Macaca mulatta: one gene and its partner. The protein of the gene in region 2 purifies or fractionates together with the protein of the main gene of each other region. This does not show direct contact. Links are inferred from orthologs where the notes say so. Each region holds a gene or a part of one and is shown on either strand. Other genes may lie near its edges.

What was found. Proteins that work in one complex are often made in the same cells at the same time.
Region 1: the proteins of ROCK2 (region 2) and RHOA purify together in Homo sapiens (affinity purification with western blotting; 3 studies listed by BioGRID, with this or other methods). This does not show direct contact. The link is inferred for Macaca mulatta from reciprocal best matches to the Homo sapiens genes ROCK2 and RHOA.

Annotation. Positions count from the first base shown.
Region 1 is NC_133407.1:112,846,720-112,852,960, forward strand, and holds the start of RHOA (transforming protein RhoA), read right to left. Parts: upstream 4,189-6,241; 5' UTR 3,572-4,188; intron 1-3,571. UniProt on the Homo sapiens protein: Small GTPase which cycles between an active GTP-bound and an inactive GDP-bound state.
Region 2 is NC_133418.1:113,613,617-113,619,119, reverse strand, and holds part of ROCK2 (rho-associated protein kinase 2), read right to left. Parts: intron 5,055-5,503; coding exon 4,919-5,054; intron 4,826-4,918; coding exon 4,734-4,825; intron 4,497-4,733; coding exon 4,250-4,496; intron 3,876-4,249; coding exon 3,769-3,875; intron 1,213-3,768; coding exon 1,053-1,212; intron 1-1,052. UniProt on the Homo sapiens protein: Protein kinase which is a key regulator of actin cytoskeleton and cell polarity.

The DNA.
Region 1 (6,241 bases), on a different chromosome or scaffold from region 2:
AAGAAAACCTTCAATTTACTGCCAAGTGAAAATCACTTCAAACTCAAGTTCTTTGGGGAAAGACGGGCAAGGAACAATCCCTGAGGTAACACACCTTCAAGTTTCCTAAATAAGAGCATGAAATCATTTATCTCAAAATGTAAATATTGTAAGGTTAACTTTCAATGGATGCACAGAATCAGGATTTGACCTTGTTTGGCCTAATTCCGAACTTACATGGCCTCCAAGACAATACTTATCTAGTAAAACTAACAGAGAAAAATGAACCATTAGGTACCTCCCAGTGAGCTAAGAATTTACATATGCTTATTGTAAACCTTATTGCTGGATTTTACTTTTACCAAGTATATATATTTCTTAAAATAAAAAACTAGGCTGGGTGCAGTGGTTCATGCCTATAATCCCACCACTTTGGGAGGCCTGAGCTTAGGAGTTGGAGACCAGACTGGACAACATGGCAAAACGTCATCTCTATAAAAAATAAATTAACCAGGTATGGTGGTGCTTGCCCGTAGTCCCAGATGCTCGCGAGGCTGAGGCAGAAGCATTACTTGGGCACAAGAGTTAGAGGCTGCAGTGAGCCATGACAGCATCACTACACTCCAGCCTGGGAAACAGATCAAGACTCTGTCTCAAAAACAAACCAAAACTTCTCATATTCCAGGAAGCCAAGCAAATAAAATGAATGAACAAAAAAATCCGTATAAAAAACTTCAGGCCAGGCGCAGTGGCTCATGCCTGTAATTCCAGCACTTTGGGAAGCCAAGGCAGGCAGATCACGAGGTCAGGCCTTCGAGACTAGCCTGGCCAACATGGCGAAACCCCAAATCTACTAAAAACACAAAAAATTAGCTGGGTGTGATGGCGGGTGCCTGTAGTCCCAGCTACTTGGGAGGCTGAGGCAGGAGAATCACTTGAACCCAAGAGGCAGAGGTTGCAGTGAGCTGAGATCGTACTACTGCACTGCAGCCTGGACAACAGAGTGAGATTCCATCTCAAAAAACACAACAACAACAAATGCCAGCGCACTAGCTCATGCCTATAATCCCAACACTTTGGGAGACAGAGGCAGACAGACCACAAGATCAGATCAAGACCATCCTGGCTCACACAGTGAAACCCCGTCTCTACTAAAAATACAAAAAATTAGCTGGGTGTGGTGACGCTTGCTTGTAGTCCCAGCTACTTGGGAGGCTGAGGCAGGAGAATCACTTGAACCCGGGAGGCGGAGACTGCAGTGAGCCAAGATTGCGCCATTGCACTCCAGCCTAGATGACAGAATAAGACTCTGTCTCAAAATAAATAAATAAATAAAAATTTAAAGCCTTGAGGAAATGCTCTTTAACTCAACTGAATGGCAATTACATGGGTATATATATTTATCAAAATTTATCAAACTGGTGGTTTGTGGTGGCTCGTGCCTACAATCCCAGGGCTTTGTGGGGCTGAGACGAGAGGATCACTTAAGACCAGGAGTTCAAGACCAGCCTGAGCAACTTAGTGAGACCCCTCTCTCTACAAAAAAATAATTAAAAACTAAAAATGTAGCCAGGCGTGGTGGTGCATACCTGCAACCCTAGCTACTCAAGAGGCTGAAGTGGAGAATTCTTGGGCCTAGGAGGTTGAGGATGCAGTAAGCTATGATTCCGACACTGTACTTCAGCTGGGTGACAGAACAAGACCCTGTGTCTAAAAAAAAATATATCAAACTATCATTTAAAGTATATGCATTTTGGCCGGGCGCGGTGGCTCAAGCCTGTAATCCCAGCACTTTGGGAGGCCGAGACGGGTGGATCACGAGGTCAGGAGATCGAGACCATCCTGGATAACACGGTGAAACCCCGTCTCTACTAAGAAATACAAAAAACTAGCCGGGTGAGGTGGCGGGCGCCTGTAGTCCCAGCTACTCGGGAGGCTGAGGCCGGAGAATGGCGTGAACCCGGGAGGCGGAGCTTGCAGTGAGCTGAGATCCGGCCACTGCACTCCAGCCTGGGTGACAGAGCGAGACTCCGTCTCAAAAAAAAATAATAATAAAATAAAATAAAGTATATGCATTTTATTGTACGCAAATTATACCTCCATGAAGGTGATTAAAACAAACCTCAGGTGATTCCAACTTGGGGAACTGGATTCCAAGTCTGGAAAGAGCCGAGTCTAGGAAACATGTTCTTAAGCACCAGGAACCAAGTAGTAAGCCCTGTTTTATTCCAAGAGATCTTAGGGCGCTACTCCCGCTACCCTTCCCCTGCCCTGCCAAAAAAAGGTACTACAAACTGTAACCTGAATAGTGAAAGTTGAAGATAGCTGGACTCAGTGGCTCACGCCCATACTTCCAGCACTTTGGGAGTCTGAGGTGGGAGGATTGTTTGAGCCCAGGAGTCTGAGACCAACCTGGGCAAGACATTGAGATTCCATCTCTACGAAAGGTAAAAATATTAGCTGGGCGCAGTTGCACACACACCTGTAGTCCCAGCTACTCGGGAGGCTGAGGTGGAAGGATACCCTGACACCAAAAGCTGGAGGCCACCATGAGCTAAGATTATGCCACTGCACTCCAGCCTGGAAGACAAAACAATACCTTATCCAAAAAAAAAAAAAAAAAAGGCCGGGCGCTGTGGCTCACACCCATAATCCCAGTACTTTGGGAAGCCGAGGCAAGTGGATCACGAGGTCATGAGTTCGAGACCAGCCTGGCCAACATAGTGAAACTCCGTCTCTAGTGAAAAAACAAACACAAAAACACACACAAAAAATTTAGCTGGGCATGGTGGCGCGCGCCTGTAGTCCCAGCTACTTGGGAGGCTGAGGCAGGAGAATCGCTTGCACTGGGTAGGCAGAGGTTGCAGTGAGCCAAGATTGTGCCACTACACTCCAGCTTGGACAACAGAGCAAGCCTCCGTCTCAAAAAAAAAAAAGGCCAGGCACGGTGGCTCACGGCTGTAATACTAGCAACTATGGGAGGCCAAGGTAGGCGGACTGCCTGAACACAGGAGATGGAGACCAGCCTGGGCAACACGGTAAAACCCCGTCTCTGCTAAAATACAAAACAAAAATTAGCCGGGCGTGGCAGCATGCACCTGTAGTCCCAGTTTACCTGGGAGGCTAAGACAGGAGAATCGCATGAACCTGGGAGGCGGAGGTTGCAGGGCGCCGAGATCATGCCACTGTACTCCGGCCTGGGCGACAGAGCCAGACTCGGTCTCCAAAAAAAAAGTAATAAAAAAAGTAGGCCAGGCGCGGTGGCTCACACCTGTAATTCCAGCACTTTGGGAGGTGGAGGCAGGCAGATCACCTGAGGTCAGGAGATCGAAACCATCCTGGCTAACATCGTGAAAACCAGTCTGTGCTAAAAATACAAAAAATTGCTGGGCGCAGTGGCTCAAGCCTGTAATCCCAGCACTTTGGGAGGCCGAGACGGGCGGATCACGAGGCCAGGAGATCGAGACCATCCTGGCTAACACGGTGAAACCCCGTCTCTACTGAAAAATACAAAAAAAAACTAGCCGGGTGAGGTGGCGGGCGCCTGTAGTCCCAGCTACTCCGGAGGCCGAGGCAGGAGAATGGCGTGGACCCGGGAGGCGGAGCTTGCAGTGAGCTGAGATCCGGCCACTGCACAGAGCGAGACTCCATCTCAAAAAAAATAAAAATAAATGAAAAAAAATAAAAATAAAAATAAAAAGACAAAAAATTAGCCGGGCATGGTGGCACATGCGTGTAATCCCAACTACTCAGGAGGCTGAGGCAGGAGAATCGCTTGAACCTGAGAGGTGGAGATTGCAGTAAGCTGGGATCGTGCCATTGCACTCCAGCCTGTGCAACAAGAGCAAAACTTCATCTCAAAAAATAAATAAATATAATAAGTTAGCTGAAAGGCTGCTGTCTGGCACTTGAGGTAAGTGCTTCTCTCTCACTGAAATCTCATAGTGCTCGCTTACCATTCCCTTTCTACAGAAGAAAAAAACTGAATCAAAAAGGAATCATATTACTGTCAAGGGTCTCAAGCCATCAAGTGTCAGAGCTAGTATTTAACTGTCAGCTTCTCTCCAGAATCCATGCTCTTAAATAAGATACTCTACTGCCTTCCTTTTCTTTGTGTTTGTGTTTGAGACAGAGTTGCCCAGGCTGGAGTGCTGTGATCTTGGAGCACTGCAACCTCCACCTCCCAAGTTCGAGCAATTCTCCTGCTTCAGCCTCCTGAGTAGCTGGGATTACAGTAACCCACTAACACACCTGGCTAATTTTTGTAGTTTTAGTAGAGATGGGGTTTCACCATGTTGGTCAGACTGGTTTTGAACTCCTGACCTCAGGTGATCCACCCACCTTGGCCTCCCAAAGTGCTGGAATAAAGGCGTGAGCCACTGTATGCAGCTTGCCTTCCTTTTCTGAACTTAATATCTTTAAAAGATAAACAGCTTCATTATGAATAACTGGAGAAGTTAAACAAGAGATTTCATCCAGAAAAGAAATTTTCCACACACACACAAAACATCTCTGAACAAAATTGCTGTATCACATAATAAAATTATCTTGTAGAGAAAAGGATTAACAAAGTGCTACAACATCAATATCCATCCTAAATTTACTTCCTTAACCTCTCAAAGCCTATATCCCAAACAACAAACGGAGTTACAAAAAAATATCCTGGTAATAGAGCATGTGATCTCTAAGTCCAGAGAATCACAACTCATCTGCAACATACAGAGTAGGATACAATGGCCACAAGAATACAGTAAAATAAAAATGTATACATAACAAAAGTTAGAATGTTCAACCATATACCTAAAGTCAAAACAAGCAACTTTTTAAAATTATGGAACTGAATTCTTGTGATTTAGAGCAGCTATAAGCTTCAGAAGTTAAAAATCTTGGCCAGGGTAGCTCACGCCCATAATTCCAGCAGGAAGCTGAGGTGGGTGGATTGCCTGAGGTCAGGAATTTGAGACCAGCCTGGCCGACATGGTATAATTCTTGTCTCTACTAAAATACAAAATACAAAAATTAGCCGGGGGTGGTGGGCAGGTGGTGGTTGGCACCTGTAATCGAGCTACTGGGGAGGCTGAGGCACGAGCATTGCTTGACTCACACCTGTAATCCTAGCACTTTGGGAGGCTGAGACAGGAGGACCACTTGAGCCCAGGAGTACAAGATCAGTCTAGGCAACATAGCAACACCCCATCTCTAATACAAAAAAAGAAGAAAAAAATAAAGCAAAAAAAAATTTTTTTTTTTAGACGGAGTCTCGCTCTGTCGCCCAGGCTGGGGTGCAGTGGCCTGATCTCAGCTCACTGCAAGCTCCACTTCCCGGGTTTACGCCATTCTCCTGCCTCAGCCTCCCGAGTAGCTGGGACTACAGACGCCCGCCACCTCGCCTGGCTAGTTTTTTGTATTTCTTAGTAGAAACGGGGTTTCACCGTGTTAGCCAGCCAGGATGGCCTCGATCCCCTGACCTCGTGATCCACCCGTCTCGGCCTCCCAAAGTGCTGGGATTACAGGCTTGAGCCCCCGTGCCTGGCCAGCAAAAAAAATTTTAACACAAATCCTTGGTGGCTCACGCCTGTAATCCCAACACCTTGGGAGGCCGAGGCGGGAGGATCACGGGGTCACGAGGTCAAGAAGTCGAGGCCATCCTGGCCAACATGGTGAAACCTCCTCTCTACTAAAAACACAAAAATTAGCTGGGTGTGGTGGCCCGTGCCTGTAGTCCTAGCTACTCTGGAGGCTGAGGCAAGAGAATTGGCTGAACCAGGTGGGCAGAGGTTGCAGTGAGCCGAGATCGCGCCAAGGCTGTACTTCAACCTGGCGACAGAGAGACTCCATCTTAAAAAAAAAAAAAAAAGAATCTAGTTTCAGCTTTATGATTTTTCTTATTTAGCAAATATTTTGCTGGGTACAGTGGCTCATGCCTGTAATCCCAGCACTTTGGGAGGGTGAGGCAGGAGGACTGCTTGAGCCCAGCAGTTTGAGGCCAGCCTGGGCAACATAGTGAGACCCTGTCTCTAAAAATAAATAAATAAATATAGGCCTGGTATGATGGCTCACACCTGTAATCCCAACACTTTGTGAGGCCAAGACGGGTGGATCACTTGAGGCCAGGAGTTTGAGACTTTGGGCGGCCAAGGCAGGCAGATCACTTGAGGCTGGGAGTTCAAGACCGGCCTGAGCGACACAGCGAAACCCAGTCTCTGCAAAAAAACATAAAAATTAGCCAGGTGTGGTGACTCGCACCTATAATCCAAGCTTT
Region 2 (5,503 bases):
CATGCCTAGCCTGATATATTCTTTATCTTGTTTTGAGCAGTAGTTATGTGAGCATATCACAAAACATAAAAAATGTTTACATTTTATTATTGCATGTAAATTATACCTCAATGAAAATAATTAAACTCTGTCTTCTAGGCCACAGACAAGGAAACTTTCTCCCTTACAATTAGATTTTTCTAAATAAAGTACTCATTTCTTTCTTATCATCCTGATTTAGTGCCTTAAACTACACTGATTTTTACTAAGAAAATCTACCATTTTAATTACATGCAATAATAAAAAGGCTATTTTTTTCTAAGTGATTTACTCATAAATGTTATGCTTCAGTATGAAAATAAATTTCTGTTCAAGAGTTTTAAGCCTTTCACAAGAATAGCTTAAAGTACTGATTTTCTTTGGAATTTCAGAGTCATTATAAACAGTCAGTTTGGAAAAGAAAAAATTATCCTAAGACAATTCCAGGATAAAGGCTAGTTTATGGGAAGGTTAACTTTGTTATCTATTAGTATTATATGGCTTTGACCAAATCTGACTAGTATCTTCATCACATTAGAGATCAAAATACTCAGTGAACTTATATTCTAGTTAGACCAGCTATTATTTTTAAATCCTTACCTTGCATAAACTGGCAAGAATTTTATAATACAAAACTCTTGTAAGAATTACCTGTATCAATAGTAACAGGTATACAGCATGTGAAGTTCAGACATACCTTCTTACTACTGATATACAGAGTGGTACAGATATTGCCAGGTATATAATATTGAGAAATATTAATTTATCTCTGATCTAAAAATCTCTGATCTAAAATATTATTTTTGATCATGTAATTTTGTGTTTGGGTCTTACTATCTTAGAAATGATTACTGTAATGATACAAAGGAAAAATAATATAATATCTATGTAAAGCTTCCCTAATAGCTTTTTCCCCTCCAATTCCCAATATTTGACAACGAAATATAAACAAATATGTTTCAAAACCAAAAAGCTGAACACAGAATCAATTCTTAGGAAGATGCTGCTGGAAAACCCTCTTTAAAAATGCATACCTTTCATGGCTTCTGATTTGGCTTCTTCGATGGACTCATAGATCTTATTTTTATCTGCTAGTCGTGCCTTTGTGGCCTTATGTTCAGCTTCTTCTTGTTCTAGGCTCTGCTGTATAACTTTTAGTTGGTATGTCATATCTATTTCCATGTTGCTTTTTTCCTGTTAAATATTTAAAATGCAGCTATCAACAAAAAAGAGACTAGCTCACAACTTCAAAAGCTTTCTATTTTTTTTTTTTGAGACAGAGTCTTGCTCTATTACCCAGGCTGAAGGGCAGTGGTTTGATGATGGCTCATTGCAAGTGCAACCTCCCCAGGCTCAATCGATCCTCCTACCTCAGCCTCCAAAGTAGCTGGGACTATAGACGTTTGTCACCACTCCTGGCTATTTTATTTTATTTTTTAATGTAGAGACAAGGTCTCACTAAACACTGCCTATCCTACACTGATCTTGAACTCCTGGGCTCAAGTGATCCTCCCGACTCAGCCTCCCACAGTGCTGAGATTATAGGTGTGGGCCACGGTGCTCAACCTTAAATCATTTTTTAACAGGCTTAATACGAATGTTCAGTATTTTCCCTCCCATCTTCACTCAAACCTCTTAGAATAGTAATCTATATACTCTACTTCTCACTGCACCCAACAGTCTACACCACCACTCTGCTGTTCCAAGATCTGTATCAAGATCACTTAATCTCAACAAAAAGACCAATGCTATTCTCCATATCAAATTCTAAAGACCTTTTTCAATCTTATCTCATCTGAACTCACCGCCACCCTTAAAACCATCCCTTGGCATTGCCGACCTTGTACTTAGTTGGTTCTCTCCATTCTGCTTGCATCCTTCCTGTTGCTTCTGAGGCTTTCCCAGCTGTCCCTTAAATGTTGGTGATATAAGCCTCAATGCTCCCCCTATTTTCTACATACTCCCCAAAGGTTTTCTAATTCTTTTATTTCTATAGTTCATATCACAAATATGATAAAGGGTTTTTTCCAAATAAAACCTTTCATACAAAAAATGATTTCTCAAACCACATAATCCACCAACAGAGTTATCTACTCTGTCCTAAAAAAAAAATAAAAAAATAAAAAATAAATCACTACTTTACACAGTCTCTTCCCAGATGGGCTATTTCACTCACATGATTTCAGCTACTAACATACCAATGACTCAAATATTTCTAACTTCTACTACTATAGCCTACTGCAGTGCAGACATTCTAATTTGGCTTTCCCACAGGTACCCTCAAACTTAAGAGGACTAAAGTGGGTTTATCACTGTCTCTTCTAAATGAGCCATTTTTCCTTTATTCTTTATTAATAGCATCACTATATATCTGGTCACAACCTACAAATCTGAGACTCATCTTTGACTGCTATTCATGTGCCATATCTAATCAACTACTAAGCGCTGCCAAATATTCCTCTTCCAAATATTTCTGAGTCTTTCAATTTTTCCAACCTTTTAATGGCTACACGAAGTCTCCCATTATTCCTTATCTGCATTACTGAAAAAGTCTACTGACTGGTCTCTCTGCCTCTAGTCTTTTCTCCTCAAATCTTTTCTCCACACAGTACACAGTGATCTATCTTTAATGTACCCCTAATAAGATCATCCAATTTAAAGCCCTTAAGTGGCTAGCCCATTACTATATTCAAAATTTCTTAATAGAGTATTTGCTATCTTGCACGACCTACCTCATGCGGAGCTCTGTAGTCTCACTCTGACCACTGAATTCCTCATGTCCTTACATAACAACCACACTGTGATCTTCAGGCCAATCTAACCTGATGTCTTTTTCTTTTTTAAGTTTCACTGGAACATAGCCACAGCCATTCCTTTATGAATCACAGCAGGGCTGAACAGTTGCAAGAGACCATATAACCCACAAAAGCTAAAATATTTACTATCTTGACTTTAAACAATTAAAGTTTGCTGACCCCCCACTCTATACTCCAGAAATATTGAACAGCTTTTATGTAAATAAACAAACAATGCCTTTTTTATTTTCCATCCTCTATGTCTTTGCTCATGCTGTTCTTCCTAACTTGGACTGTGCCTTTGCCCTTATCAACCTTTCCTGCTGTCAGGTTAGGGATGCATCCCATACGCCCAATACATATGCCCTGTCCATAAGTCTTATCATTCTGTTTCTCATACTGCATTAGAATTATCTTTGTGCTTTATTATTACTTTTAAACTTACCTATTCAACTGTGACATTATTCAAGGCAAGAACTGCATCCTGATATTTCTACCACATATAACACACTGAATATTTAGTTGAGTAAATAAATAAGTGAATGAAAATAAAACGCTAAATGCATAGACTCTAGAAATCATCCCTTTCTTAAGAGTATTTTAAAGGAAAAACTTTTAAATGCCAAAAGTCACGGTGACTTTATATATATCATTTTTAAGGCATGTTATGAGTCAAAATTTGAGTTTTCCTTGAGTTCCTACAGAGATCCTCATTATCTACACTCCAGGATAGGTCCCCTTCCTTTGTGAGCAGCCAGCATGCTGAGGGCTGCTTGTATAGCGTTATGGTAAGCCTGCAGATACATCTCTTATCTACGTATCAAGTCCAAATGGAAAGGAATCCATGAGCATGTGGAAATACTACAGTTAGTGACTTCCCTTAGTTTAGAATAACTTTTCTAACCTGAAAGTCTACAGTCAATTTTCTTATGCAAAAATACAAATCATGTTTTACCTTTTCCAAATCAGTAAATCTCTCCTGCAGTTGTCTCTTCTCCAGTTCTACTTTCGCTATTAAGATTTTGCCGTTCTTTAAATCTTCTTCTAGGCCAGATATTCTACCTAAAAATTTCAACGTTTTTAAAAACATTAAACACACAAAGTATATACATTCAACTAAGAATAAAAAGTTTGCAAGCCACCTTCTATTTTGGAGCTGTTATTTGCGAGCAGGAGTTTTATACTTGTTGGTGTTGTGCTTTACAGTTAAATGCAATCCAATCTACTACCTGAAGAGTTTAATACTTAAAATCATACTATTTGAAATTAAATCTTTTGTTCATAAAATTTTGTGTCAATGTATTTCTAATATTCTAACTTTACATAAGAGTAGTATACTCAGAAATGTCCTACTCCAGCACACTATCCATCATCTAAAGTTATTTTAAAAATAAGAATCATCAGAATTAATTCAAGTGCAACCACGACTTCAATACCTTGTAAATCATTAATTATCTCTGATCCATGGGTTCGATCCCTCCTTTCAGATTCCAGTGCTGACTGAAGATTGATAAATTCCTTTTCAAGTTTTAACTTGGCAGTCTCCAGCAGGCAGTTTTTATCTTGTAGATCTCTATTGTTAGATTCTAGCTGCTGAATCTGTTTTGAACTTTCTGCCTGGGTTTTCCTTAACCGGGCTGCAGTATCAGATTCTGTTCGCAGTAAAGCATTGGTTTCATCCAGCTGTTATTCCATTCAAAACCAAACAACAACAAACAAACACAGATGTATGTAATGAAAATAAGTCAATCTATTCCCCTATTAGAAACTATTTAAAATAAACAAAAACCTAAAAATATTTTCCAAATGATTTCTAAAATTAGAGGTAAAGGCCTTTTGCAACACTTAAATTAAAACTAATGTTACTGCATGGTTATAAATAAAACCCAATATCTTTACTACAAATTGAGATCCACCTACTTGTCTCTGGAGTTGATTCACTTTCTCAGTGGATATTTGAGAGTTTTGATTTCTTTTTTTCAAATCTTCAAGTTGATCTTTTAAGCTGTTAACTACGATAAAAAGCATTTCAGTGGCAAGCTTAACATAACACACATACACACACTTAATATTTTTCTTGATAATTAATATTCTACAATACAAACCATCATTTTCCAAATTTCGTTTCTTGTCTGCTTCATGATCAGCTTTCCTCTGATATTCTGCATTTTTGTGCTGAAGAAGCGCCTTTTCTCTTTCTAACTGTCTTAATGCTGATTCCACACTTTTCCTTAAGGTAATCTGAAATAATGCTTAAAGTTATTATCGAAAAAGTATGTATAAAAATAAAATCAGAACAAAAAATAGTTGTTATTCCAAACAGATAACAAAGATCTCAAAAAGGCTATCACTTTTTTGTTAAAACTGTAATAATGCTTTCCATGATTGTAAACTAGCACACCACTCTTAAATCATAAAGACCATAAATATTTTGTTTACTATTCAAACTTCATGTAACTTTCCATGACTACTGAACTATTATTATTTAATACTTTGGCCTAAAATGTTATGAATAGCATTTTTTCCCTTGAAATATCTATACATACTAAATTAACTCAAGTTTGCAAACACATAACAGAATGAACCCTATTTATAACATGATTTCCCTATAATTTAGTTCTATCCACCAATACTACAAGGTGGGTTTCAAGGGATGTATTACTATGGTACTAAGAGAGCTCCTTAGGTAA